Callithrix jacchus: one gene and its partners. The main gene of each other region encodes a partner of the protein of the gene in region 7 in a complex. Links are inferred from orthologs where the notes say so. Each region holds a gene or a part of one and is shown on either strand. Other genes may lie near its edges. The genes, in order: MED31, MED13L, MED23, PPARA, MED7, MED18 and MED1.

The links.
Region 1: MED1 (region 7) and MED31 share a complex: the UniProt entries of both Homo sapiens proteins name them as parts of the mediator complex. The link is inferred for Callithrix jacchus from reciprocal best matches to the Homo sapiens genes MED1 and MED31.
Region 2: MED1 (region 7) and MED13L share a complex: the UniProt entries of both Homo sapiens proteins name them as parts of the mediator complex. The link is inferred for Callithrix jacchus from reciprocal best matches to the Homo sapiens genes MED1 and MED13L.
Region 3: MED1 (region 7) and MED23 share a complex: the UniProt entries of both Homo sapiens proteins name them as parts of the mediator complex. The link is inferred for Callithrix jacchus from reciprocal best matches to the Homo sapiens genes MED1 and MED23.
Region 4: the proteins of MED1 (region 7) and PPARA are in contact, whole or in part, in a crystal structure (PDB 9IWM), measured with the Homo sapiens proteins. The link is inferred for Callithrix jacchus from reciprocal best matches to the Homo sapiens genes MED1 and PPARA. Residues at the interface, in NP_004765.2 of Homo sapiens: Asn638, Thr639, Asn641, His642, Pro643, Met644, Leu645, Met646, Leu648, Leu649, Lys650; in NP_001001928.1 of Homo sapiens: Val284, Thr285, Thr288, Glu289, Lys292, Phe297, Leu302, Asn303, Gln305, Val306, Thr307, Leu309, Lys310, Pro458, Leu459, Glu462, Ile463.
Region 5: MED1 (region 7) and MED7 share a complex: the UniProt entries of both Homo sapiens proteins name them as parts of the mediator complex. The link is inferred for Callithrix jacchus from reciprocal best matches to the Homo sapiens genes MED1 and MED7.
Region 6: MED1 (region 7) and MED18 share a complex: the UniProt entries of both Homo sapiens proteins name them as parts of the mediator complex. The link is inferred for Callithrix jacchus from reciprocal best matches to the Homo sapiens genes MED1 and MED18.

What each region holds. Positions count from the first base shown.
Region 1 is NC_133506.1:108,210,287-108,215,151, forward strand, and holds the start of MED31 (mediator of RNA polymerase II transcription subunit 31), read right to left. Parts: upstream 3,196-4,865; 5' UTR 3,114-3,195; coding exon 3,086-3,113; intron 2,268-3,085; coding exon 2,190-2,267; intron 1,905-2,189; coding exon 1,808-1,904; intron 1-1,807. UniProt on the Homo sapiens protein: Component of the Mediator complex, a coactivator involved in the regulated transcription of nearly all RNA polymerase II-dependent genes.
Region 2 is NC_133510.1:119,026,193-119,030,328, forward strand, and holds part of MED13L (mediator of RNA polymerase II transcription subunit 13-like), read right to left. Parts: intron 4,082-4,136; coding exon 3,144-4,081; intron 1,355-3,143; coding exon 1,175-1,354; intron 563-1,174; coding exon 339-562; intron 1-338. UniProt on the Homo sapiens protein: Component of the Mediator complex, a coactivator involved in the regulated transcription of nearly all RNA polymerase II-dependent genes.
Region 3 is NC_133505.1:138,249,750-138,253,885, reverse strand, and holds part of MED23 (mediator of RNA polymerase II transcription subunit 23), read left to right. Parts: intron 1-851; coding exon 852-1,052; intron 1,053-3,070; coding exon 3,071-3,214; intron 3,215-4,136. UniProt on the Homo sapiens protein: Required for transcriptional activation subsequent to the assembly of the pre-initiation complex. Component of the Mediator complex, a coactivator involved in the regulated transcription of nearly all RNA polymerase II-dependent genes.
Region 4 is NC_133502.1:213,759,710-213,763,845, reverse strand, and holds part of PPARA (peroxisome proliferator-activated receptor alpha), read left to right. Parts: intron 1-2,944; coding exon 2,945-3,192; 3' UTR 3,193-4,136. UniProt on the Homo sapiens protein: Ligand-activated transcription factor. Key regulator of lipid metabolism. Activated by the endogenous ligand 1-palmitoyl-2-oleoyl-sn-glycerol-3-phosphocholine (16:0/18:1-GPC). Activated by oleylethanolamide, a naturally occurring lipid that regulates satiety.
Region 5 is NC_133503.1:19,893,669-19,896,922, reverse strand, and holds the end of MED7 (mediator of RNA polymerase II transcription subunit 7), read left to right. Parts: intron 1-1,211; coding exon 1,212-1,925; 3' UTR 1,926-2,220; downstream 2,221-3,254. UniProt on the Homo sapiens protein: Component of the Mediator complex, a coactivator involved in the regulated transcription of nearly all RNA polymerase II-dependent genes.
Region 6 is NC_133508.1:64,999,984-65,004,787, reverse strand, and holds the start of MED18 (mediator of RNA polymerase II transcription subunit 18), read right to left. Parts: upstream 3,104-4,804; 5' UTR 3,037-3,103; exon of another isoform or gene 2,981-3,036; intron 1,883-2,980; 5' UTR 1,822-1,882; coding exon 1,749-1,821; intron 1-1,748. UniProt on the Homo sapiens protein: Component of the Mediator complex, a coactivator involved in the regulated transcription of nearly all RNA polymerase II-dependent genes.
Region 7 is NC_133506.1:119,865,566-119,869,076, forward strand, and holds part of MED1 (mediator of RNA polymerase II transcription subunit 1), read right to left. Parts: intron 2,422-3,511; coding exon 1-2,421. UniProt on the Homo sapiens protein: Component of the Mediator complex, a coactivator involved in the regulated transcription of nearly all RNA polymerase II-dependent genes.

The DNA of each region.
Region 1 (4,865 bases), about 12 Mb from region 7:
GAAAAGAAAGAACCTCTGACCCACTGTACTCTGACCACATCTGAAGGCCTGTGTTTAGTTCTTGGCTGAACTGCATAAGGTACAACTGCCAAATATCCAAAGGAGGGAACCTGAATTCATGAGAAGTCTGGGCACCATGGCACAATGGCTGAAGGGAGTTGAGAAAAAGAGACATAAGAGAGGTGTTATAGTGGCAGCTACTGGTTAGCAATGAACCAAGCCAAGTGGTAGAAAGTCTCTTCCACCAGGTGGAAAGCAGCTAGTAGTGGCAGCTGCTCTCAGCATCAGCCAGTTGTTGATTGGAAGAATTAAGATCTATGGTTGCTAAATCTTCCAGATTTTAAAGAGTTGCTGGAAATCTGCATTTATTAAATAAAACTTTCTGATCTTTAAATATTGGCAAGCATTAAAAAAAAAAACTAAAATCTTGGGCAGACTAAATAAAATGCCCAAAATGGGCTAATTTGCAATCTCTCTTGAATGTAAATATCTAAAAGGCTGTTGTCCCCAAGAGGGTATAGAATGGTTCTAGCTTAATCCAGGGACAGATTGAAGCTACAAGGAAGTATATTATATCACAATATAAGGAAGAACTTTATAACTTCTGGCTAACAATCGAATCAGCTGTCCTTGACAGAGTCACATGGGATCAATGGAAACTTCCAAACGGAGTGTAGATGACCATCTCTCAGCAACACTATGGATAAAATTAAACTTACGGATGGCTAAGGCTTCCAACACAGAGTCTGTAAATCTACATACATACAACATTTGTTGAAATATACTTTTTTAAAAGTCTTTTCTTTGGATTATTAAATGGATAAAAAGCCAGAAAAGATACAAACGGTCCTGCAGGCAACACAAGATGTATATGCTTCATGAGTCAACTGTTACTGCATACAGAAAAGTGACTTCAAGACAAATTTGAAACATTTCCTCTCAAATTTTTGTCTTAAAAAAAAAAGTTCACTACTGCTTTCTGACTACCTGCTTAAAACAAAGCAGAGGTGTGAGTTCAAGGTGTAGTTTTTTGTTTTTTTTTACCATTAAAAGGGAATTGCTTTCTGGTTATAATACACTTCTTGCAACTTAGTAAGCTTTAACAGGAAAGTGTCTGCTGAACAACCTGAATGGTAAACATATATATACACATAAATGAGTAAATGCATGTGAAGTATTTAGCACTGTTCTTGACACAGAACAGGACTTAAAGAAAAGATAGCAGTTCTAAGATTCAGGTAAGACTCCTCCCAACAACCCCAAACACCTTCCTTACAGATACTCTCTTTTTGTGTTCTTAATTTCAGCCCATGGCTGAAATTACGTAATGTTAAACAACATTTACAGATTGTGAGTTCTTTGAGATCAGAAACCTGGGGAGATGGGGAGGTCGGTAAAAGACAAGGTCAGACAAAGCAGAGCCAGATCATAGAGGGGTTTGGCCCAAAAAAGAGAGACTGGATTTTATTTCGCATGGAAATGCAAAGCCATTGAAAGATTCTAGGCAAAAAAGTAAAGTGTTCTGATTTATATTTTTAAGTGATTAAGCAGGCTTCTGTGTAGAAAGCTGTTTTGCTTTGTTTGGTTTGCAGGGAGCGGGAGGGGAGCAGGAAGGTAAAAGTGGAAGCAGAGATAACCAGGCAATAGATTACTGCAGTGATACAAGTTAGAGATGAGGGTGTCTTGTATTAAGGTGACAACTGAAAGAAGTGGAGAGATTCAAAATACATTTTTGCCAATGTGAAACTAAGAAATCTATTATATAATAAAGTATACACATGCTTAGGATTATAAAAATTAAACTTACTTTAGATACTTGGCATATTCTGGGTCTTTCCAGTAAAGCAAGTATTTAAGATAATTAACAAAAGCTTTGTCTTTGAAGTAACCTCTTTGGGCAAGAACTGAAAAGCATTAAAAAAAAAAAAAAAAGAAAATCTGTAGGTCAAACCAATTCTTAAACTATGATTTGTTACCCCTAATATAAAGGATCTATTTACATAACACTCCCACCACCAACACACATCGGATTCAAAATACAAGTCCCAATGTACACAATTACATCTATACACCAGCTAAGTGTAATTTCATTTCATTGAGAATGTGTACAAGCAGATACTATTTTGAATTGCAACTCTTCTGTCAGAAATTAACAGCTACTCAATTTAATGAGGTGCTTAAAAACTTACAATTAAGGTAATTTGGGTTGGCTAAACATTGCACAAATTCCAACTCCAATTGAAACCGAAGTCGATTTCCAGCATCATCTAGGAGACAAGACAGCAAAAATCATCGAAAATAAAGGTCACTGTATATAATACTGATTTGTGGTAAGGAAAGAATAAAGAAACCTGACTAATATCGAGATGGTCTTCCTAAACTGGGAGTGGGTGGAGATAAACCTTTCTTCGAAATCTAAGAAAAGCGGAGCCTTGATTAAAAGGATTAAGTTAGAAGTTTCTCTAAAGTTAAAGAGAAATCATCAAAGAAAACAGCCACACAAACAGAGCAGAATTCCTACCAACTCGTGGACCACTTTGCAGGAATTTTAAGTGATCACTTAGGTAAGCTGTAATAACTGTGCTTCCCCTATTTTAATAATGCATTGTAACAATTGTTAACAGTGATTACGTTTCGCAAAAGCTACGCGCTGAATCCTTTAAGAAAAACTTAGGATGCAAGCCGAAAAAGAGACTGCAGAGAGCCTAAAAGATCGTGGAGTTTATGCATATCTGAGAAGCAGCAACAGCACAATGATACACAAGTCTAGCGACGGTATTTCAAATACGCAAGCTCGTGAGAAGCAGAAAACCAATCAAGGAGGACACGGTTTAACACACAAGTCCTCTCTTAATCTCGCCCACCCTGGCGAGCTGGTGGTTTTTGAATAGCAAAGATGTGGCACAAACCAAATTAGGAGAACTGCGAAAAGTACCTTAGCCTTTCTAGACGCCACAAGGGCCTTCTCTCCGCCCTGTCCAAATACGAACCCTGCAGAGTGAGGCCTGAAAGGAAGCCCCGGGGAAGAGGTCTGGGCCTAGGAGCGTTCCATCTGAGAAGACTCCAGGCTCAGAGAGCTACTCACCTGTCTCCATAGCGACGGCGGCGGCCATAACAAACACACACCAACCCGCCACCAGCCCGACAGAGCAAACGCCCAGAGTGGCGAGGGAAGTTCCAAAAACCACAGCTCCCTCTTCCGGTCCCGGGGCATTGTGGGATATGCGGCCGGGAGGCTCCGCCCATCCCCGGGCCGCTCCATCCCCGCTGGCTACCGAACGGCGAGGGGGCGGGGACAGGGCCGTGGGAGCGCCCGAGGGGCAGAAGCCTAGTGTTTTAGCCTTCGAAGGACAATGATGCTTCCACATCATCGTGTTGTGGCTCTCCCCCCTGTGGTAGTACAGTAGTTTTTCTCTCTTCTGCCTGCGGTGACGGTTGGTATGTGGGGTGCCCAGAGGCCTCCCTGGCCCCCCTCACGCCTGGCAGAATGGCCTCAGCCCAGGGGGCAAGCAGTCTTCGCCCCGGTGCGGATCTCCCGCTACGCGGAGACGTCTACGGTCCGCCCGGATGGGTGGAGACCTCACGGGGCCGCAGCGAGGGGTCTTCCCTCTCCCCGTCGGGAAAGTGGCTCCCTGGCGTCCTCAAGGAGTCCTCCTGGCACGTGGAAGCCTCCTCGCGGCGCACGGAAACGACCTCCCGCCACGTCAGGGACCCTGCGGGTGGAGACGTCTCTGCACCGCGCGGAGAGCCCAGCCCCGCGGGCCAGGCCGGCCGCCACCACCACCCCCTCCCTCCGAGAGAAAGAAGCCTGATGAGATACTGCTTCCCAAAGGCCACCAAGGTGCCAGGGCCCTCAGCCAGGACAGAAAGGCCTCCAGTTGCCAGCCAGCCAGCTGCCAGGTGGACCAATCTTTTTCGGTTTCATGGAAATAGCTCATAAATCAATGTAAGAAACAGCTAGGCTGCGGTTCCTGAACACAGCCAACGTTTTTTGACCATCCTGCGGCGTCTTGGACCAGCCTGCTTTTGACCCAGTGAATTATATTCACTTGAAGCCAGCACAAAAGGTTTTCAGGCCCAGGATGCTGTATAAATCGGGTTGATGGACAAAGGCTGTTTGAACCTCTGAGCCAGGTGAGTTTGGGATCCAAAGCCCTCCGATGACCTTCGCCCCTTAGGAACACAGACCAAACTGAAATCATGACCTGTGGAATGATTCCATGCCTGCTAAAAGCTTGAGAAGCAACTAACTCATAAATTATTAATTGCCCTTTGTTTATGTTTCAAAGTAAATGGTTTTCTTTTACCTGGCACCCCCATTCACATACTTTTTTAAGGTAGGTTAGATGTTAAAAATGATAGCAAACCTACCAGCAAGCAAAAATAATCTTAGAAGGGAAAGTGAAAGGAAGTCATTGAAACCTGACCTGAGGTTTGAACAAGATGGACAAGAGTCATATTTATTGAGTAGCTGCTCTGTGCCAGGCACTACAGATACTCCTCCACTTACAATGGGGTTACCTCCCAATAAACCCATTGTAAGTAGAAAATATGGTAATTTGAAAATGCACTTACTATCTACAACCTACTAAACATCATAGCTTAGCCTAGCCTACCTTGAACATGCTCAGGACACATTAGCCTAAAGTTGAGCAAAATAATCTAACAGAAAGCCTATTTTATAATAAAATGTTGAATATCTCATGTAATTTATTGCTTACTGTACTAAAAGTGAGAAACAATGGTTGTGTGAGTACTTAAAGTAGTATTTCTACTGAATGTCACTTTTGTACCATGGTGAAATAAGTCAAACTATACTAAAAGTGAGAAACAATGGTTGTATGGGTACTTAAAGTAGTATTTCT
Region 2 (4,136 bases), on a different chromosome or scaffold from region 7:
TTTTGTAAAGCTCATCTTCTACATAGCCACACTTTCCCCTGGTGAGCAATAATCTTCGACTTTTAGCACATAAATGGAGAAGAGAGAGCTGATGGGATTTTAAGACATGTGGTAAGGATGGGAGGGGAAAGTCTTCTAAATCTAATAAATATAAAGCGAAGACGGGAAAGCAACCTGCTTCCAGAAAAATGTGTCAGTTCAATTTTCTTCCTCATCCTCCTGTTTGCAAATTGTCTTTGAGATTCACTTTCAAGACATCTGTCTTGAAGTTTAGTCATCACTAGGAACAATCAGAAAATCCATGTCATAAAAAGCGATTTTCACAGTAACTTCCTCACCTCGTACACAGCACTCAAGTCCCTGAAGAAAGTTTTGGCTCCTTCGAGCAAGGCCTCATTTTCTGGACACACCACAATATAGGCAACATCACGGTGGCCCCCATATGGGTCCAACAACAGCCTCTCCCAAAATGGCAAGGAGAATGGTGAGATGGTGAGGAAATCCTTGTCATAGCCTACCAGCAGAGTGGGGATGGGCAACGGCTCAGGAGATTCTTCTGAACCTAAAATGACATTGTAGTTTAGGAAGGTGCTAGTGTTTTCCCCACAACCTAGACAATTTAGAAATTCCTGGTGCACTGTTCTTAATTCTGGCATCTGAAATGTCACTGCAGGTTCACAAGATATTCTTAAAAGTGTCTTTCAAATCATCTAATTAAACGGCCACTGATGAGGACTCTTAATTAAGTAAGTCAGAATCTTCTTACAAAGGTTCAGTAAGATCAGAGGGCTGACTAGAACAAGTTACAATTAACCTTCCAGGCAGCACTGCTTCATTTCCTTCAAGACAAGCATTATTATCCTGACTATGATGAAACAGACAGAACTGGCCCAGAAGTCCATCCAGATGAAAATGCAATGAGGACTGGGAAGGTGAGGAGAATCTAAGAAACGCACTTTGTAGGGATTATCTTCCTCATTGACCTGGACTATGACAAGGGTGATAGGAAAACTTGACCCAAAAGTAATTTTAAAAAACAGATTATAAAACTTAATGCTCATGAAGAAAAATATTCCATTTTGTTAGCGAAGCAAAGACTTGACAGTAACTAATGCTGCTCTTCACTAAAAAGCACTGACATCAGAAGAAATTTTAAACGGGGCAAAGACCCTACCATAGGTTCCCCGTCCTGCCATTTTATGGAACTGCTGCCAAGTGAGTGGTCCCTGCACATGCTGGATATTCTCCCAGGTCCTTCCCGTGCGCTTCTTTTGGATGGCATCTTGGAGAAAGGGCTGCAGGGACAACAGCATACGAACCACATCCTGGGAAGAGAGCATGCTGATGTCCAGCACTGGAAGAGAAGTGAGAAGAAACAGAGAAGATAAGGGGGCTAGCACCCTCCTTTTCCTTGCCATCACCTTGAGCCTCAGTTATAGTCCAGGACAATGATGTTATTAGCTGTAGCAAATTCTAAAATATCTGACTTAGGAGTCAAAAGGAAAGATATTCTTCTACTATATTAGAGAAAATAATTGATAATGTAGTATCAAAAATAAAAAGCGAAATGGATTACTCTATAAAAAAGTTTAATGGAAGAACTGTTTAAAAGTAGAAACATGAATAGGTATGAACTTTTTAAAACCATGTAAATCTATTTTCAAGGATTTCCATAAAACAGCTACAAAAGTTTCTTAATTATTGTATTACTTTTATTTGCAAATATCGATGTGTTGTTTATAATGATGAGTAGGAAATAATGGAACTTAAATAGAAGCTTTTAAAAACTCTTTAAATGCTCTTAATTGTAAAAATATTTTCACAAAATACAGAATGCATAAAGAGAAAGCCAATCTTCATTGCAGCCAGAGGCACATGGAAACACAGCAGAAGCCACTCTAGGACTGAAGCCACCTTCTTCACAAGGACCCTAAGGCAAGCTATTGTTTCTGACTAGGTCTTCCTCTATAACCTCCTAGTGTCCTCAAATCCATTCCCACCATTTTCTAATCTATACCCAGAATTATAGCCAGTGCACACTGTAAGTTTTCTTTTCTAACTGCACAAATCTGATGTCAGTGCTTCTTCCTAAAACCTTTCAATGACTTTTTATTGCTTCTTGCAGGAAGACCTAACCCCCGGGATGCCTCTAAAAAAATCTAGCCCCTGCTGGCTTCTAACTTTGCTTCAGTTTCAAAGGCCCCAAGCTCTGTACAATCAAGGGCCTTCTTACTTGCAGCTCCTTCTGTCTGGAACACATGCCTTGCTCCCCATTCTCCTTCCTCAGTTAATCTGTACTCATCACTGAGATCTCCAAGCAAATGTTACTACTTCTTCAACAAAGTCTTCTCTGACCTTCAGCCTAGAGTGCCCCCGCCTATCCCATGCTTTTATCACTTACAAAATGGGTTGTAATAATATTTGACTTGTGTAATTATTTAATTAATGTTCACTTCCAGAATAGATTAGGAAGTCCATGAGGGCAGGTGTCTTGTCTCTTTCAGTAACCATTTTATCACCCATGATGCATTGCAGTTTATGCAGTGACTGAATAAGAAAAGGGAATAGCAAGTTGCTTGGCACTCTTACAGCCCAACTTCAAAAATGTTTGTGATCTGGAGCTTTTAATAATACAGCCAGTTACATGCCTCCGTAACCACAATGAAAAGTAAAATGTGATTATAAGTGATATAACAGAGGGGGAAACAGAGAAAGGACAAGAGACTCTGGAAATAGGTGGATGGCTTCATGGAAGAGGTTCCTTGGAAACTTGATGTGGAAGAATGGTGGATTTAAACATGCAAGAGTGTGCAAAATTATCAGTCTGCAAGCTCGTGATGACTCTGATACTCAGCTGTCACAGGTTTCCAACATGGACTCCTTACTCATGAGTTTTACAAGAGGAAAATTTCAGAAAACAATTACTTTTCTCCAAAGGCATTTCAATATAAAACATTCTCCCAGTTGTTAAGTTTGGGATGAAATCAATATAGCTCTCACTTTAGTTCTTTTTATCCCCCCTTAAATACATGAAATTAATTTATTTTGGTCAAATAACAAAGAAAATAAAGCTTTTAAGTTAAGATCATACCAAGATATACCAAGATACTCCTCAGAGCAAATTTGTGTTCTGGGACACCTACCATTGCTGTGAGGCCAAGAGTGCACAGTGGCACTTCTCACCAGAGCTTCGTCCACTTTTCCACCAGTGGGGTTATCCACATACTGCCGCCCCTGCTCCAATGCATTAAAGCATTCCGTCCAGTAATCGTTATTATCTGCTTGCACCCGGTCATAACTCCAGCTTACACAGGGAAGAGTTTGGCGATTGTTAGAGGAAATGTAGTCCAGGAAACTCAGTGAAGCAAAAGGTTGTGTGTGTTGACTCTGGAGGAGGAGGAGAAGGCTTATGGGTGGTTCCTGGGATTTTCTGGTTCCTTCGGCCTGAGGAAGGAAGGTTGTCTGACACATCAGTAGGCGCCGCTCTGCAGCCTGACCAATATCAGAATTCTTCCCAAAAATATCCAACTCATCTTCAAGGAAGAGTCCTGAATTGTAGCCAAGTTTGCGGTTCATAATCGCACTAAACCCACAGGTACAGCGGTACTGGTCCTCATTGGAAGAATCCGGGATGTAAAGCCCGACATCCGCCCCTTTGATGTTCATGTTGCAGGCACAGATGCAACAGCTGTCAAAGTTTCTGTCTTTAAAGATATTCATCACGGAATCGGAGAGAATCAGGGTAACATAGAGACTGTGGGCTTCAGGAATTGGTTGCATGGTGGCAGGCTCCACAGAGTTGAGGGGCCGCGTAGTAGAGGGGGTGGAGGCTGGTGACCCCTGATCAGTGCTGTCATACTTAACAGACCCCTGACCACTGGCAGTGCCCCCACCTCTGGGAGTTCTTGGGGTCCTGGGGGTTCGTGGTGTGGGGACAGAGAAGCGAGGGGTTGCTGGAGATGGGAGGACTCCTGCCCCACTATTGCTGGCTGGGGCAGCACTGTTCAACGTCACGGGTGTGTTCATCTGTGGTGTGTTAAGATAGTCTGGATCTGCTAGGCTCCCAACACTAGGCACGTTACTGTAAAAAGAGAAGGCACCATGTAAGGAAGGGAAGCATGTCACAGATGTTGGAG
Region 3 (4,136 bases), on a different chromosome or scaffold from region 7:
TCATATAACGAATTTAAAAAGGAAATATGAAAATGGCTTAAATATGGCTTAACTTATTTCTTTTGGTAAAAGTATATTTTTTAAATCACTTTTAAAAGCACAGATCTTTTTGCCTCTAGAAAGGGAAGTTGCATTCTCATTTTTAGTGTTTAAACTCAATTCTTTTTCTTGTTTTAGATTTTAAAGTGGTCTAATTTAAAATTAAAGCTGCATTATGTTTGGCTTCCAAGAAGGAAGAGCAGAGATCAATTTTATTCCCCCATGAAAGAAGTTTCCGCTTCAGTATCAGGACCAATACCACACACTCAAAAACAGACGTTGAATAATCTGGTAGCTACTTAGACATACCCCTGAATATAAAGTTTGTGTAAACTTGTAGAGGTTACTTTAAAATAAAGAGATTCGTATAACCTCTTTATTTGTTCTATCATAATATTTGATCCCTGTAAATCCAGGGTTTTCATCTTTTGATTTAGATTGTAAAATTAATACTACTATCCCTGTTTCATATGCCCTTTAAAATGTTATCTTTTTTCAAAGGATAAATAACAAAATTTTCTACTATGCATTGCCCTTTGTCTAATTGAAACAAGTGATGTCCATAGCGGAAGTCCAAAGCTAATGGAAAGTCTGTTTTGTGGGAAACCTGAAAAAATAATATTTTTATAACTTATTCTCTATGATAATATAACATAATGCAGGTTTAATAGACTAAATCTAACCTTAACTTCTTAAGTTCAACTTCATTCCATGCTTCTCAGCCTCTTGTTACAATTAATGCCCATTAACTAGTAACTTTTGAAACTAACCGAGAGGCTTTTGGAATACTGTATTTAATCTCTGCCCTACAGCACAAGCAGCGCTGCCCTGTGCTGGAGGACCAGTTGGTGGATCTGGTTGTTTATGCCATGGAGCGATCTGAGACCGAGGAGAAGTTTGACGATGGGGGAACAAGCCAACTCCTGTGGCAGCATCTCTCGAGTCAGCTCATTTTCTTTGTGCTTTTCCAGTTTGCGAGTTTTCCACATATGGTGCTTTCTCTTCATCAGAAGGTATGTACTAAATCTTTTGGTCAGAGTGACTTCACCTTTTGATTAGTGTATTTTAGACTGCTATGGACATTCCCCAGTGATTTAAGAACTGGCAGAAGTTTTGAGCCCCAATTTCTGTCCTGTTCACTGCTTTTACGGTTTCTTAACTTTTTACTTTCTTGTCCTTGTAAAGCCAGGATTCAGTCATTCATTCTGTGTATTCCCAGTGCAGGCACCAGGGGATACAAGATGAAAAGGCACTGTAATATCCTCAAGGAGCACCTCACTAGAGGAGGAAATATATATCTGCGCGCGCCTGCGCGCGCGCGCGCACACACACACACACACACACACACACACACAGACAACATGATTATTTCTTAATAGTTGTCACAATGAAAGCACATTTCCCTGCGATATGAATAAAAGGAAATAGTCCCTAAGCTTGCGGTGAGCCAAGATCACACTACTGCACTCCAGCCTTGGCGACAGAGTGAGACTCCATGTCAGAAAAAAAAAAAAAAGGAATGGTCTGTATTAGAGATATCAGGGATGGCCGTATCAAAGAGGTCTTTAAGCAAACACTTGAAGGATGAATAGAAACTTGCTAAGAGAAAAAGACAGAAAAGTGTTTCCCTAGCAATAAGACTAGCATTTAGAAAGGGATAGAGATATGTGAGAACTGGAAATAAAAATATAAAAGGGAAATCATTGGTGAGATAAGTTAGGCGGGAAAGCAAGGGCAGATATGGAGAACTTTAAATGGCCATGTGCCTGTTCTAAGGAGTTTAGATTTTCTCTTGGAGGCAATGCAGAGGGGAATGGCATTGTTGTATGCAAGTTGAAAAATGCTAATGGCCACATGGAGAAAGAGAGTGATGTAGAGATTAACGGGAACAAAGCCAGAGGCTCACTGTAACCTTAGGGACTATTCCCTTTTATTTGTATTGCAGGGAAATGTGCTTTCGTTATGACAACTATTAAGATATAATTATGGGTTTTTTGTGTGTGTGTCTGTAAAGCCAGAGGCAAGGAAATTAGTAGGGAGATAACTGCAGTGGGCTAGGCTAAAGATGCTGAAGGCCTAAACCAGGACAGAAAGGAGGAACTGGAGATGGGATATCCGGAGGTAGAATAGGACTAGGTGACTGACAGCAAATAATGGGAGTCTAGGCTTGCTCAGTGGTTCCTACTCTGGGAATTAATAGAAGGGAGGACGATGAATCCAAAAAAGGGAGACAAGTAAAAGACTTAAGTCTGTGGGAAAAGTCACCTTTTGTCAACAATTTTAGACATACTGAATGGGAATAAAATAAATGTTGATTTATATAACATCTCCATGGCATGGATTATCATGGAGAAAATTTTTCACAAAAATTGTTAAAAATCCTTTTAACCACCATCTCCTACCCCCCACCACCATTAGTTCCTGTTATAATGTACAGAAAACCAGCTGGGCCAGGTGGCTCACTCCTGTAATCCCAGGACTTTGGGAGGCTGCGGCTGGTGGATCGCTTAAGTTTAGGAGTTCAAGATCAGCCTGGGCAGCATGGCAAGACCCCATCTCTATCCTTATTCTAAAGATATAAATAAATAAACAAAATGTATAGAAAACCAGGAAGCATGTTTTGTGGTAACCAGTCCTTGATAATTTCAAATTAAAAAAAATATATCCTTTTGGTATGATAGTGTATTCCCTACATTTTGATGAGATTTTTAAAATAAGAATTATCCCATTTAAACTCGATTCTCTTGCATACCTGATCAACTTGATTATGTTCTACAACATTGCATTTTTGGTATGCTTAGTTGTTTCGGGGAGCAGGAAATATTTATATATAATATTAAAATAATTTAGCAGGCTTTGCATGGTGTGTCTTGAATTGAGAATAAGTAATTACTAAATGTCAAAGTGAGATGTTGACTTTCTGAGAACAAGAACCAGGGTTTCTCCTTAAAAAACAAACAACAACAAAATCTTCCTCTGTTTATGTCTTTAAGTAACAATGTCTACATGTGTATTTAAAAATCTTTTATAGTTAGCAGGGCGAGGACTGATTAAAGGCCGAGATCATCTTATGTGGGTTCTCCTGCAATTCATTTCTGGAAGTATTCAGAAAAACGCACTAGCTGATTTTCTCCCTGTCATGAAGCTCTTCGACTTGCTATACCCAGAAAAAGAAGTAAGCTTTACTGAATAACTATTCATGACAACACGATGAGTAAATTATGTATAATTATGTTTAAGGATTTCAGTGTGGTTTTGTGAGTATTTCCAAAGTTTATGCTAAATCACAATTGAGTAGGAAGTATAGCAAGCTCTTTCTCTACATTCTAAGTAGGTCTACATTTTTAGAAATCACTAAAGCTGTTTTAGTCTATATACACCATTCAATGGCCAGACAACAGTGTCTATTAATAGCTATTTTTTGTTTTGACAGTTGAGCCTCATTGTGTCTCCTGGGTGTTTTATCATATAAGGTATTTGAGTAAAATGTGAGGTACTTTGATGATTGCCATTTTCTAGAAGTACTTTATTATGAAAATTTTTAAACATACACAAAAAGTAGAGTGGGTAGAACAGTAAACCTACCGTGTTATAACCATCATGAAGAAATACTCATTTTATCTTCCCTCTTTATCTTTTTTGTCAGTGTTGGACAATTTTAAAGCAAATCCCAGACATCGGTGTCATTTTACCCATCAATAATCAGCACATTTAGTAATAATCATTTAGATTGCATATTTCTTAGATTTTTATATGTTCTTAAAAATTATTCCGAGACTTTTAGAAAGTCTTGTGTTTTTAGTTACATTATCATATTTAGTAAGATTTCATGATGATATGTTTAAATTTTTAAAAAGTAAAAATTAAAAAATGATTTTTGTTTGAGAATGCTCTGTGATTGTAGGAAAAGCTTGACAAAGCACCTGTGAATTTGTGTTACTTTCTTAGCAAATAAAAACATACCAAATAAAGCATCTTGTAATAGTTTCAAAATTTTATGGCTGTTAGACCTTCTGATTTGTATTATTGAATTATTGGGGCTAAAGTAAGATATGATATGTTAAAAAGAGATATATCAGAAATTGATTACTAAAATA
Region 4 (4,136 bases), on a different chromosome or scaffold from region 7:
GCACAAATTAGCCAAGCATGGTGGCCTGTGCCTGTAGTCCCAGCTACTTGGGAGGCCAAGGTGGGAGGATCACTTGAGCCTGGGAGACAAAGGTTGCAGTGAGCCAAGGTCATACCACCACACTCCAGCTGGGTGACAGAAAGCCCGTCTCAGGAAAAAAAAAAAAAAAAAAAAAAAATATATATATATATATATATATACACACACACACACATTTGTTTATAATTATGTCTAATATGTTAAACAGATATAACTTATTATACATTGTGATATTCCTGAAGATATGATCTAATGAGGTGGCTGTGTTCGTATTATAGTGTCGTATGAAGTGCCATACACACGTCAGTATGGTTGCCGTCACACTCGGTTATGTTGATGCAAAATATATTTCCCAAGGCCAAGTATAATACCCGTCAGTACCGAGTGGCAGGGACTGCAAGGTTTGCTTTGCCCGAGGAAGCAGATCCGGGGGAAGGCAGATCTGGTCGTGTCTGTGGAAGCCAGCTCTGCAGCCCCTGCATTTTTGGCTCAGTGTCACATTGCCTTAAATAGCCCTGTCTCAAGTCTAGGAAGGTCATCCACCTACCGTAGACTCGGCTGACCTTACCCAGCCTCGGTGGAGACGGACGGGGTGACTACCTCCCACACTGCCTGCAGCCATACTGCGCCCCAGAGATTGACTCACTCTCAGCATGAAGCTGACTCAGCCCTACCAGCCATGCCTGTTACTGTCTGGCTGGGCACAAGTCAGATGGAGGAAGTCCTCACGATCTTGCATAAAGTGTACAAGGACAAAGCAGTTACGCATAATTTGTCCTTTCCAGCCAGTATGCCACCAGTGGTCAAGATGTAGCATCGTGGGTAAATGCAATTGCAGAACTATTTATACGGAGCATGATCAAAGTTTTATGAAAGAGATTGTAATCCTCTATCAATCCTATGTGTATAGAAAAATGTCCAGTGGGATATATGTTAAATCTATTAATGGTGGGATTAAAATTATGAGGGGGGGATTTCTTTCTACTTCTCAAAAAATTCCTTTTTTTTTTTTTTGAGACAGATTCTTGCTGTGTCACCCAGGCTGGAGTGTGGTGGCACGATCTTGGCTCACTACAACCTCCACCTCCTGGCTTCTAGTGATTCACCTGCCTCAGTCTCCTGAGTAGCTGGGATTATAGGCGTGTGCCACCACACCCTATATTTTTATATTTTTAGTAGAGATGGGGTTTCACTATGTTGACCAGGCTGGTCTTGAACTCCTGACCTTAGGGTGATCCACCCACCTCGGCCTCCCAAAGTGCTGGGATTACAAGCATGAGCCACTGTGCCTGGCAATAATTACGTTCTTTAGAGACTTCATATTCACAGCCCCAGCCACTCTGGAGGCTGAGACAGGAGTATTGCTTGAGCCCAGGAGTTGCAGTCCAGCCTGGGCAACATAGCAAGGCCCCATCACTAAAACAATATGAAAACAAGAGTTTTTAAAATAACTTAAGAATTATATTTACAACCAGAAACAATGAAGATTTTTAAATCCTCATCACTAGCAACACTGTAAGAATCACAGCAATACGTGGGTCTGCAAAGGGAGCACTGCCTGCTGGACATGGCTCAGGGCAACATTTTCTGGACCAAGAGTCAGGTCTCACGTGCTGAGACTGTCCCAGGAAGTCTAGTTAGTACCAGCTACCCCAGGGAGGTCATCTGATGTGAACGCTGGCACTTCCTGCACCAAGTCTCAGACCTGCCCCACTCTCCTCCCCACCCACTCCAGGGTCTCCTAAGCATTCTGTCCAGCCAGTATGCCGCAATCCTGACCCCACCTCATTTCTCACTCTACTTTCTTTTCACCTGACTTATATTAGAAGGGTCTGTAACACAAAACCTAGTTCTTTTTTTTTTTTGAGACAAAGTCTCACTCTGTCACCCAGGCTGGAGTGCAGTAGTGCAACCTCGGCTCACTGCAACCTCTATCTCCTGGGTTCAAGCGATTCTCCTGCCTCAGCCTCCCAAGTAGCTAGGATTACAGGCATAGCTGGGATTAGTGCCTGCCTAAGTTTTGTAATTTTTATAGTGACAGGGTTTCACCATGTTGTGCAGGCTGGTCACAAACTCCTGATGTCAGGCGATCCGCCCGCCTCGGCCTCCCAGAGTGCTGGGAATACAGGCGTGAGCCACCATGCCTGGCCCACAAAACCTAGTTCTAACACATCCCATTCCTTCAATATGGTGGAAGGCCTGCAGCTGAGCATCCAGTTTCGACTCAAGAAAAAGAATTTCATTTCCCACATTATGCAAAATTGGTGGTGGTGATCATCTCCAGAATGTACTGTTCCTCCTAATAGCTCCAATTTTTTTCCAGGACAGGTGGTAAATCCGAAGTGAAAGGGCCACCCCATAAGATGGACTGAGGGCAGTATTGCAGCCTCGTAGTATGAATATTTAGGAAAGAGCACGGGTCCTGTCTGTCCCTACTTCACCTAGAGACTTTGTCAAAATCCAAGTGTATCTTCCAGTCAAGCTGACGATATCTAAAGACAGCTCAGTGTTTTCTAAGAAAGACCGCATAGGCCGGGCGCGGTGGCTCAAGCCTGTAATCCCAGCACTTTGGGAGGCCGAGGCGGGTGGATCACGAGGTCAAGAGATCGAGACCATCCTGGTCAACAGGGTGAAACCCCGTCTCTACTACAAATACAAAAAATCAGCTGGGCATGGTGGCACGTGCCTGTAATCCCAGCTACTCAGGAGGCTGAGGCGGGAGAATTGCCTGAACCCAGGAGGCGGAGGTTGAGGTGAGCCGAGATTGTGCCATTGCACTCCAGCCTGGGTAACAAGAGCGAAACTCCGTCTCAAAAAGAAAAAGAAAAAAGGCCGTATAAAATAGGCACGGCTGGTTCCTAGGTGATCATCACACTCAGACGTCTCTCTCTCCTTTCGAGCCTAGATCGCCCAGGCCTCCTAAACGTAGGACACATTGAGAAAATGCAGGAGGGTATTGTGCACGTGCTCAGACTCCACCTGCAGAGCAACCACCCGGACGACAGCTTTCTCTTCCCAAAACTTCTTCAAAAAATGGCGGACCTCCGGCAGCTGGTCACGGAGCATGCACAGCTGGTGCAGATCATCAAGAAGACCGAGTCGGACGCCGCGCTGCACCCGCTGCTGCAGGAGATTTACAGGGACATGTACTGAGGGCCCCCGGGTCGGCCACACCATTTCCGGGACTTCTGACGCTGACAGCACTACAGAGGAGAGAGAGGAGCGGCGCGATTTTGCACAGAGACGCGCCACTTTAACCTTAGAGCGTGGACGGTCTAAGCTGTAGGTAACCGGCATATTATCCCACGTCTTTGTTTTAACCGGTGCTTCTGAGAGTGCAGAACTCAAATCCTGGTGGGAGGCGGCTGATCATCTCAGGACTGGGGAAATTAAGGAGAATGATGCTCAGTGGTCTGATTTTAACTCGCCCCTTAGATCACGTTCGTGATTTACCATTTAATTAACCGGTAACCTCAAAATTCGTGGCCTGGCTTCCCATTCACCCACCTTTTGACATAGCGCTCCTTTGTGATTCTGAAAATTGATCCGCACTTTTAACATTTATCAGCCTCTAAGTCTAGGTGTATATCCAAAGGTGAGGTATGTGAAAAGCAGCAAAATATTTATTTCAAAGACTTCACTTCTGTTTCCTGACTCTAAAGAAAGGCAACAGGCTGCTTTTCAGTCATAGGATGGAGAATTTTAAAGAACTGTTGGATAAGCTATCAAAATGCAGCTGTTGCTTTGTTTTTGGTTCAGTGTTCGTGGTTGTAACTAATATGTGGAAAAGCCCATTTCCAGGTTTGCGTAGAAGAGCCCAGAAAATGGAGTCTCAAGATCCCCATCTGGACTGTCGTAAGCTAGCACCTGTGGTAAGCGAAACAAGACAAGCTCCCGAAGCCCACCCGGTCCACTCAGCTCTGTCCTGTCAACCTGAACCCACCCAGTCCGGCTGTCTGTGGGCATGGTGGTATTCTTAGGGACAGACTGACGCCTTACTTGTAAATGTTCCTCCGGGCCCCATCTGGCAGCTCCCATGTCTTCTGTTATGTTGCTTTTAAAGATATGATGCTTTATTGTTGTAACTCTCGGGAGAG
Region 5 (3,254 bases), on a different chromosome or scaffold from region 7:
CACATGGTGTAGCAAAGTACAGACCAGCACTCCCCACCTCAAAAGGTTTGAGTGGGATGAAACGTGAGCTGTCAACAATTGTATTTTGAAGTTCTAGATCAATGTTAATTCCTTGATTTTGGTAATTGTGCTGTGGTTAGAAGAAAACACACAGAAGTATTTAGGGGTAAAGGAATGAGAAACCAATAAAGCAAATGAAGGTAACTGTTAACATATGGAGAATCTGAGGGAAGAATATGAAGTGTTCTTTGTATATTCATGCACTTTTTGCGTAATCTGAATTTATGTTAAAAGCTTTTAAATATTGGCCAGGCGTGGTGGTTGACGCCTGTAATTCCAGCCCTTTGGGAGGCCAAGGCGGGCAGATCACCTGAGGTCAAGAGTTAGCCACCAGCCTGGCCAACGTGGTAAAACTCTGTCTCTACTAAAAATACAAAAATTAGCTTGTATTTTTAGTAGAGACAGAGTTTCACCACGTTGAAATGTGTGGTGGCGCATTTCTGTAATCCCAACTACTCTGGAGGCTGAGGCAGGAGAATTATTTCAGCTCAGGAATTGGAGATTGCAGTGATCTGAGATGGCACCACTGCAGTCCAGCCTGGACAACAGAGCAACACTCCATCTCAAAAAAACAAACAAAAACCAAAAGTTAATGTGTCCATATAAAATTGCATAGTACACTGTGACAAAAAGGGTATGGAACTGAATTATCATTTCATTCAGGAACTTTGGATCATACCAGGTGTTTAGGATTTAGCAATGTTAATTTTGTCAGAGTGTTTGTGAGAGATACAAGTGTTTGCTGTTAAAAATTAATCTGTAACATAAAGCAAAAGTGATTATGACCTGAGATTGGGAGACAACATGTGTAGTTTGGTTATGGAGGAGTAGAGAAATGGGCCAAAGTGGTAAGGGGTGTGGAATCCAGAAGATTTTCTTTAAAGATGAAAAGATGGTACATTTTTTTTTATGCTGATGAAATTATTAGGGAGAAAATGGAAAATGTGAATGGTTGAGAATATAATGCCTATTTAGAAAAGTTGGCAGACTTTCCCTATCATAAATGTTAGTTTTAGAAACCAAGGAGATCATCTTGTCTTGGGCCGCAAACAACTGGAAGAAAAGGAAGAAAATATTCTTTCTGTAGTTACGAAATGTAACAGGTTCATTTCGTGGCTCTACTCTAATAAATCTTTGGTCTGTGTCTTTAGGTTCTTGGTGCAATGGGTGAACCACAGCAAGTGAGTGCACTCCCACCACCTCCAATGCAATATATTAAAGAATATACAGATGAAAATATTCAAGAAGGCTTAGCTCCCAAGCCTCCCCCTCCAATAAAAGACAGTTATATGATGTTTGGCAATCAGTTCCAGTGTGATGATCTTATCATCCGCCCTTTGGAAAGTCAGGGCATCGAACGGCTTCATCCTATGCAGTTTGATCACAAGAAAGAACTGAGAAAACTTAATATGTCTATCCTTATTAATTTCTTGGACCTTTTAGATATATTAATAAGAAGCCCTGGGAGTATAAAACGAGAAGAGAAACTAGAAGATCTTAAGCTGCTTTTTGTACATGTGCATCATCTTATAAATGAATACCGACCCCACCAAGCAAGAGAGACCTTGAGAGTCATGATGGAGGTCCAGAAACGTCAACGGCTTGAAACAGCTGAGAGGTTTCAGAAGCACCTGGAACGAGTAATTGAAATGATTCAGAATTGCTTGGCTTCTTTGCCTGATGATTTGCCTCATTCGGAAGCAGGAATGAGAGTAAAAACTGAACCGATGGATGCTGATGATAGCAACAATTGTACTGGACAGAATATACAAGAAAGAGAAAATTCGGGTCACAGGAGAGATCAGATTATAGAGAAAGATGCTGCCTTGTGTGTCCTAATTGATGAAATGAATGAAAGACCATGAAAGATGTTTCTCTTTTCTTTTTTACTTTTGATAAATAGCATCATATATTATTTTCTTTTGGACAGTCTTCAGAGAGGTTTCACTAAAAATGTAAACAGCTTTAATCTTGACTCCAATTTTTTCAATTATGAGATGTCATAGGCAGTAATTTTGCTGTATAACAAGCATAGGCAAATGAGTACCCTGCACTAAGAATAATCACTTTAGAAAGCAAAGTGTTAGCTGCTGTTGTACAGGACATTCCTATGTTTTGGAATTGCAGTAAAACTTTGATGATAACCTCAATAATAACAAAGTTTTCATCCTTGAAAAGGGGATTTATTATTTTCTTTAAGAATGACAGATAAGTAATAGACATCAAGCTGTATAAATGTAAAACTATGAGATCTTTAGACTTAATTAAAAATTTTGCTTAAGCTCCAGAAAGTAGTATGACATGTTAGTAGAGAGGAACCCAGTAAAGTTATAAAACAAATTTATTTTTTTTCCTCATAACTGTTCCTGTAAACCCATTATCTCAGTCTTTTCTATCCTGAATAGACTCTTGCGTGGAAGTCCCATAGATTGTTTTTTTCTCTAGTCACTCAGGTAATAAGTCCTTTGGCCACTTTAAGTTACAGACATTAATTTTAGTAATTAAGATGTCTATGTTATTAGCTACACATTTTCTTTAAAGCTAAAGTCAGACTTGCTTAAGTCCCCAATGGGATAGGGGTTTGGTGGCAGGCTACTAGGTATCTACTAAAATTTTTGCTCTTTGAAGATAAGTTGCTGAGATATAGCAACCCAGCCAGGGACATTTCCCTGCTTTCCCAGCATCTCTATGAGAAAATGTGACTAAGTTTTAGGGAGTGAAATGTGGGCATAAGAATCCAGGCTTGCCCCATAAACATTTCTTGCATGATCCTTCATTCTCTTTTTTTTGTTTTGTTTTGTTTTTTGTTTTTTGAGACGGAGTTTCACTCTTTGTTACCCAGGTTGGAGTGCAATTGCGTGATCTCGGCTCACTGCAACCTCCGCCTCCTGGGTTCAGGCAATTCTCCTGCCTCAGCCTCCCAAGTAGCTGGGATTATAAGCACGCGCCACCATGCCCAGCTAATTTTTTGTATTTTTAGTAGAGACGGGGTTTCACCAGGTTGACCAGAATGGTCTCGATCTCTTGACCTTGTGATCCACCCGCCTCTGCCTCCCAAAGTCATTCTCTTCTATCTGCTGGTTGGATGGCCGTATCTGAGATAAGTCTGGAAGCCACTGAAGATGGCAAAAATTGTCAGTCTGAGTCTTCGAATCACTGTGAGGACTAAGTCTTCCTTTCATTAACTCCACACT
Region 6 (4,804 bases), on a different chromosome or scaffold from region 7:
TGGGAGGGCTGCTTGAGCCCAGCAGGCTGAGGTTGCAGTGAGACAAGATCGCATCACTGCACTCCAGCCTGGGTGACAGAGTGAAACCCCATCTCAAAAAAAAAAAAAAAAAAGAAAAGAAAATGTTAGGAGCAGGGAATGGCTCACCATTGCATCCTACATTCAGGACAGTCTCAGAAATGTTCGTTCCTCAAACATCTTAGGTGCTTTATAAGTGTGTTGGTTCATTCAATGTATGCTTACTAAATGCTGTCCTGGGGGCACTGTGCTAGGCTCTGCCCTTGTGGACATTACAGTTTAGTAGTGGAAACAAGAAATAAATAAGTAAGGCTGAGTGCAGTGACTCATGCCTGCAATTCGAGCACACTGGGGATGCTGAGGTGGGAGGAATCATGTGAGTTCAGGAGTTCGAGACTAGCCTGGGCAACATAGTGAGACTTCATCTCTACTAAAAATAAAAAATAATAATTAGCTGGGCGTGGTAGCATGGGCCTGTAATCCCAGCTACTGAGGAGGCGGATGCGGTGGGATTGATTGCTTGAGTCTAGGAGGTTGAGGCTGCAGTGTGCTGTGACTGCACCACTACATTTCAGCCTGGGTGAGAGAGCAAGACTCTGTCTCCACATAACCAAACAAGTAAATGAAAACAAGGAAATAAAAGAGAATCAGATGGAGAGGAACTGGAGGGGACAAAGGGGAGGAAACTACTCTGAGATGTTGGAGTGGTCAGAGGACTCTCTAAGGGGATGACAGATGAGCTAAGACCCTACGATGAAAATGAAATGGTTAGCTGGGCGTGGTGGCTCATGCCTGGAATCTCAGCACTTTGGGAGGCCGAGGAATGCGGGTCACAAGGTCAAGAGATGGAGACCATTCTAGCCAACACAGTGAAACCCCATCTCTATTAAAAATATAAAAATTAGCCAGGCATGGTGGTGCACACTGTAGTCCCAGCTACTTGGGAGGCAGAGGCAGGAGAATTGCTTGAACCTGGGAGATGGAGGTTTGCAGTCAGCCTGGGCAAAAGAGTGAAGAATCCATCTAAAAAAAAAAATCAGAGAAACACGACCTAGAAAGATAGTTGCTAAGGGATAGTTACAGGGGAGTGGGAATCAGTGTTTAATGGATACAGAGTTGCAGTTTTACAGGATGAAAAACTATTTTAGGTTGGGCACAGTGGCTCATGCCTATAATCCCAGCACTTTGGGAGGCCAAGGTAAGTTGATCACTTGAGTCCAAGAGTTCAAGACCAGTCTGGCCAACATGACAAAACCTCAACTCTCTACTAAAAAATACAAAAATTAGGTGGGCATGGTGATGCACACTTGTAATCCCAACTATTCGGAGGCCTGAGATGTAAGAATCCCTGGAACCCAGGAAGTGGAGGTTGCAGTGAGCCAATATTGTGCCACTGCATTCCAGCCTGGGTGACAGATCGAGACTCTGTCTCAAAGGAAAAAAAGTTCTATTAAGTATTTTTTCAAGCTATTCACAATAAACACGAGTTCTAAAGATCTGTTGCTTAACAATGTTAATATACTTCACACTACTGAACTGTACACTTAAATATGTTATGATGACAAATTTAATATGTTTAATGCATATAAAACTATAATATGAAGTAACAATTAAAAACATAGCTGATTGCCAGAAACTGTGCAGGCTGCTTTTGTGTTAAGTCTCTCATCTTCACGGAAGCTGAACAGAGAAGAGGAAAACAGGTAATCCAAGTTCCCTGGTTCACTTACCCTGCAGCAGGTACTCCATCATGTTAATGGTGCCCCCAGTGACAGGCATCATGGTGACTGGAGGTGCCTCCATGGTGTCTAAGTTGAAGACAACACAACTCAGAATGCCCAGTCAGGTAAGGCATGAGATATACCTGAAAAAGAATTCACTTGTTTATACATCAGAGTGGTGGAGAAAGACCAGATCTGTTGTGGCACTAGCCTTCAAATCAAAAGATTCATTCATTCAAAAACGTCTGAGTATCTCCTTATATGGCCAGTTCCAGGAACTGATAATACAGAAATATAAAAGGGAGATCTAATCATGGAGTTATACCATAACCTTCTAGTCTCAAGTTCTGAAACTTCCAAGTTACCTGTGCAATCTTGAGAAAGTCCTACAACCCCTCACCCTGGGACTCAATGTATTCCTTATAAAATAAGGCCAATTTTTTTTTTTTGAGATGGAGTTTCACTCTTGTTATCCAGGCTGGAGTGCAATGGGGTGATCTCTGTTCACTGCAGCCTCCGCCTCCAGGATTCAAGCGATTCTCCTGCCTCAGCCTCCCGAGTAGCTGGGATTACAGGCATGTGCCACCACGCCCGCCCGGCTTTTTCTGTATTTTTAGTAGAGATGGGGTTTTGCCATGTTGGCCAGGTTGGTCTTGAACTCCTTGGCCTCAGGTGAGTCTCAGGTGATCCGGCCTCCCAAAGAGCTGGGATTACAGGCATGAGCCACCGCGTCCAGCCGAGGCCAGTATTTTTTAATTTCGGAGGCTATGTGGCTCTAATGACATAATAAAGAGGAAACAAAATTCAGAGGAACTGAAAAGTGACTTAAGGGCCCTTAATTTTATAGATGAGGATACTGAGACTCGGAGAGGGGCAGAAGGATACACAGAGCAAGTTGGTGGCAGAGTTTGGACCAAACTAGAATCTAGGCATTCCATCTCTCTAAAAATGCCTTCCCCTCTCCCTTTTTGTTTTTTGGAGACAGGATCTCGATCTGCAGCACAGGCTGGAGTGCAATGGGGAGTTCCCAGTTCACTACAGCCTCGAACTCCTGGGCTCAAGCGATCCTCAGCCTCCCGATCTACCTCCCAAGTAGCTAGACTACAGGCGGGAGAGCCACTGCGGCTGGCCTGAAAATGCCTTTTAAAGAGAGCCAAGAGAAAGTTATTTTAAGATGATGGTGTATAGGTCCCTTTAAGCCGCATCCAGAACACGTGTCCATTTAAACACTAGAAACACACCTCCTTGAGGCTCTAGCTTCTTCTCAGGAAGCCGGGAATTATATTCACCCGCGCACCTAGGCGCCTTTGAGCGACGATTAGATTCCAGCCCTCCGGTTAACCGAGCCCCGGAAGCCCTTAGACGGAAGCAACCAGCCAACTTCCTCCTCTTTTCACCTCCGATCGGAAGCCGAAGTCTCACAAACCTCGAAACTGCCGTTCCGGAACGTAAGGGTGCCGAGAAGGCCAAAGAGCTTCATTGCGGACAGACAACCAAAAACGCATGCGCGAAATCCCGGGCTGCTGTAAGAAAGATGGCGCCCTCCTTTGGAGCATTCCTCCGGGAGCTACCTGAAGCCTTGATGTCACAGGCCTTCCTCTAGGAAAATATTTTTAGGTTTGACAACCTGGAGATGTACTTGTGTAGAAAGTCTCTTGGAACTGTTAAGACTTACAGAGATTATCATGAACTTAAAAAAAAAAACAAAAACTGGGCTGGTCCGAAGGTAGTGAGTTATCTCAATTGATTGTTCACAGTTACACAGATCGAACTCCTTGTTCTACTCTTTCCCCCCTTCTCACTACTGCACTTGACTAGAAAAAAGAAAAATAAAATTAAATTAAATTAAAAACACACACACACACACACACAAACTGAGGGGTTAGGCATGGTGGCTCATGCCTGTAACTCTAGCACTTAGGGAGGCCAAAGTGGGCGGGTCACTTGAGTTCAGGAGTTCAAGACCAGCCTAGCCAACATGGTGAAACCCCGTCTCCACTAAAAATACACTAAAAAACCGGGCATGGTGGCGCATGCCTGTACTTTCAGCTACTGGGGAGGCTGAGGTGGGAGAATCACTTTAACCCGGGAAGCGGAGGTTGCAGCAAACCTACATTTCACCACTTGCACTATAGCCTGGATGATAGAGAGAGACTGTATCCAAAAAAAAAAAAAAAAAGAAAAAGAAAAAGAAAAAAAGAAAGTAAAGGAATAAAGAATGGCTACCCCCATAGGCAGAGCAGGCGAGTGGAAAAGGTGTAGGCCTAGATCCAGGAGTACTCTGCATGCCAAACTAAAGAATAGATGTGGCCAGGCACGGTGGCTCACGCCTGTAATCTCAGCACTTTGGGAGGCCAAAGCGGGCAGATCACAAGGTCAGGAGTTCAAGACCAGCCTGACCAACATGGTGAAACCCCGTCTCTACTAAAAATACAAAAATTAGCTGGGCATGGTGGGGCATGCCTATAATCCCAGCTACATAGGAGGCTGAGGCAGGAGAATTGTTTGAACCCAGGAGGCGGAGGTTGCTGTGAGCTGAGATCGCGCCACTGTACTCCAGCCTGGGTGACACAGCGAGACTCCGTCTCAATTTAAAAAAAAAAAGAATAGATGTGAGCTTTAAAGGAACTCTGATTGCAATGTCGAGAAAAGTTTGGGAAAGGAGAGCCTGGAGAAAAAAGATCAGGCCGGGCTCAGGTGGCTCAGACCTGTAATTCCAGCACTTTGGGAGGCAAGGTGGGCAGATGGCTTGAGCTCAGGAATTCAAGACCAGCCTGAGCAACATAGTGGAAACCTGTCTCTACAAAATATACAAAAATTAGCTGAGTGTAGTGGGTCGCATCTGTACTCCCAGCTACTTGGAAGGCTGAGGTGGGAGGATTGCTTGAGCCTGGGAGGCAGAGGTTGCAGTGAACTGAGATAGGTTACTGCACTCCAGCCTGTGCAACAGAGGGAAAACCTATCTGGAAAAAAATTAAAGAAAGAAAAAAAGACCAATGAGGTGCTTTGGTATAACTCTGGCTGAGCAACAACTGTGAGAAAAAGATTTTAAAAACCTAACAGAG
Region 7 (3,511 bases):
ATGACGGCTGTCAAGGACGGCTTCTTATTTCTGCTGGGAGATTTTCCTTTGGAACTCCCATGCTGGTTCTGAGAGGATGACATGGAAGAGCCACTTGAGGAAAAGGAGGAGGAAGATGCCGTACAAGAATTAGATGATGGGGGAGTTTTCTGGGACAATGAGCCTGAGGATCCTAACCCTGAAGATGACTTCATGCCAGAGCTTGAACTAGTTCCTGACATATGAGAACCACCAGAACCTGAACTGATAGGGGACTTGGCTTTAGAGGATGGGGGAGTTCCAGGAACAGGCTTCATTGGGGAGGCAAGTTTATCAGAGCCTCCAGGTGGCCTTGAATGAGAAGGGGATATGTTTGGTTTACTTAAAGGATTCATAAGTGATGATGGCTTTCCTTGAGGTTTCATCTTGGTGCTACTAGAGCTGCTGCTCAGTCCATGCTTGGTAATAGGAGAGGAGCCTGGCTTCCCTCCAGACTGCGAGGAATTTTTGGACTGGCCAGATCCAGAAGATCCCTGGCTAGAGTATATACTACTACTTAACTTGGAACTTGATGAGCCTTCTGATTTACTGCTTTTCATCTTCCCTGAGGTGGAAGCAGAAGATGAGGAAGAAGAGGAAGAATGGCTATGGTGGCTTTTGCTGCCTGAGGAAGACACAGAACCACTGCTGGTATACTGACTATGAGAGGAAGGCTTACCCACCATCACTGTTCCCTTAGGAATCTGAATAGTGATTTTGGGAATGGGTGGTGTGGCAACACCTGGGGGAGTCTGAGATCTTCCTGAACTGCCTGGAGATTTAGATCCACCTGTACTGGTAGGAGGGGTAAAAGGTCGGTTAGAAGAACTATGAGATGGCGACTTTCCCTCAGTGTCTGCCTTCTTCCGCTTTGGAGGCTTATCTTTGTTTTTCCCATCATTAGAAGGGGTCCGACTGCGCTTCCCTGGTTTGCTGTCTAATCCTGGCCCCGAAAGAGTACTATTACTGGTGCCATTGCCTTCCTTTACCCTCTTTTGAGTCTTTTCTTTCCCTAAGTCCCCAGTGGCCAGTAAAGGACCTTGACTACCACTGTGATGCTCCATAAGATCTGCAGGACCTAAAGCTTTGCCAGCTACTGATATAATACTGAAATCAACTGTGTCAGCTTGGTTATTGCCCTTAAACTTGGTCTCCCCATTATCACCTCCAAGCATTGGCACCCCCAAAGTATTTAGTGCCTGAGATGCAAATCCTTTGAAATCATCATTATCCCCACTTTGGCTGCTTTCATCAAAATATTCTTCTCCAAAACCACTTTGGCTCTGGCTGTTCAATAAATCAGGATTGAAATCTACTCCATCATGAAAAAAATGATTTGTAGGAGAGTCACTATTGGGACTTCCAGCAGCATCTGCAATAAGGTCAGCTGGATCAGTGTATGGATTTTCATTATTGTTAGTTTGAAAGACATCAGAGTCAAAGAGGGTACTCTGAGAATGCCCAGAGCTTGAAGAATCTCGAAGAGGGGTGCCAATGGCTGGGCAATCATCACTAGTGCTGGGAAGCTTAGAAGCTTCTTCTGCAATGTCTGAAAGGATGTCAGTTACATCTGGGCCAATGCTGTCTGAACTGGATAGTCGGACCATCCTTTGAATACTGGGTTGGGGGTGAGGTACTGGTTGTGGGTAAGTTGTTGGGGGAGTGCTACACTGGCTTGGAGCTGGAGTGATATGTGGCGTATCCAGTGTGTCAGCTGTCATGTTGACATCGAAGATAGGGTTCTGTGAGTCAACATCCATTGAAAATAACTCCCTCTGAAAGTCATCTTCAGTCTGGTGCTTTGGTTTGTCAGGTGGTAATCGTGATGACTTCTTTTTCTTGGTCTTGTTGCTACCCGAGCATATATCCATCCGGGGTGAGCCAGAAGAGGAGTTCTGCCTCTCTAAAGGGCTGCTTCCATAAAGGGTTGAGAAATCCTGGGCAGGATTATCTTTAAGAAGGTTCATGAGCATCGGGTGGTTCTTGGTGTTGCCGGCCATCGAAGAGACAGGTGGCGGCGTGTGATGAGGAGGGGTCGGACTCGAGCCAATGGTAGACCCCCCGTTCCCTGTGATTTGCAACAAACTGGTAAGAATTGGGTTCTGAGACACCTTGCTGAAGTCCTCCCCATGGCCCACCGACTCATGCCGATCTTTGATGCTCATGCTCATATTAAACAAGGTGGTAATGGGACCCCCCGGAAAGGTGTTGGTTGGTGTAGTGGTACCACTCATTGGGTTGTTGCCTGTGGTCATGCCATACCCTGGGCTGCTAGCCGGGGGCAGGTTCTTTTTCACCATGTCTTCAACTGTCTCTGCAATGAGGGACAGTGCTGGGGTGTCGGCCTGAATGGTTTCAGCTTTCCTCCGAATAGCCCTCATCGTCACAGGGATGGACATACATCTGCAAGATAAGATAGAGGAAAACAAAGTTAATATTGCAATAGCTGCTGAATGAGACCTGAGATTTAGATACAACATAAGAGTTTTGCAGTAAGCAGTTTTCAGGTAGGGCAAATAATAGTTCTATCAAATACCAGAGCTTTGGGTAAATTCATTTGAAAAATCTAAGCCAAAATGAAATTGTCAACCTCTTAATAAGAGTCACACAACAAAAGCAAACTATAATCAAGAGTCCAAATAATTGGACTTCAAACTGAACTAAAAGAAAATTGGTAATAATGGAACTCAGTAAGAAAATATCTCCTTAGGGTGGGCGCAGTGGCTCAGGCCTGTAATCCCAGCACTTTGGGAGGCTGAGGGGGTGCATCACTTGGGGTCAGGAGTTTGAGACGAGCCTGGCCAACATGGTGAAACTCTGTCTTTACTAAAAATACAAAAATTAGCCAGGTGTAGTGGTACACACCTGTAATCCCAACTACTCAGGAAGAGGAGACAGGAGAATCACTTGAACCCAGGAGGCAGAGGTTGTAGTGAGCCAAGATCATGCCACTGCACTTCAGCCTAGGTGACAGAGGGAGACTTTGTCTCAAAGTAAAAAAAAAAGGAGGCCAGGTGCAGTGGCTCACACCAGTAATCCCAGCACTTTGGGAGGCTGAGGAGGGCAGACCACAAAGTCAGGTGTTCAAGACTAGCCTGCCCAACATAGAGAAACCCGTCTCTACTAGAAACAAAAAATTAGCAGGGCATGGTGGTGGGTGCCTGTAATCCCAGCTACTCAGGAGGCTGAGGCAGGAGAATTGCTTGAACCTGGGAGGCAGAGGTTGCAGTGAGCCGAGATCATCCAACTGCACTCCAGTCTGGGCAACAGTGCGAGACTCTGTCTCAAAAAAAAAAAAAAAAAAAAAAAAAAAGCCTTCTTCTGGGAGATTCATATGATAATTATAGGGATATATAACTTATTTTAATTAAGGAATCATTAGAAAAATCTCTTGACCCATCAAGTTCTAAACCTTAATGGCCTAGATCATCCCAAAGCTACGCTGTTATAAAAAGTGCTATTTCAGGAATGAAATCTTGTTTATTATAAAGCA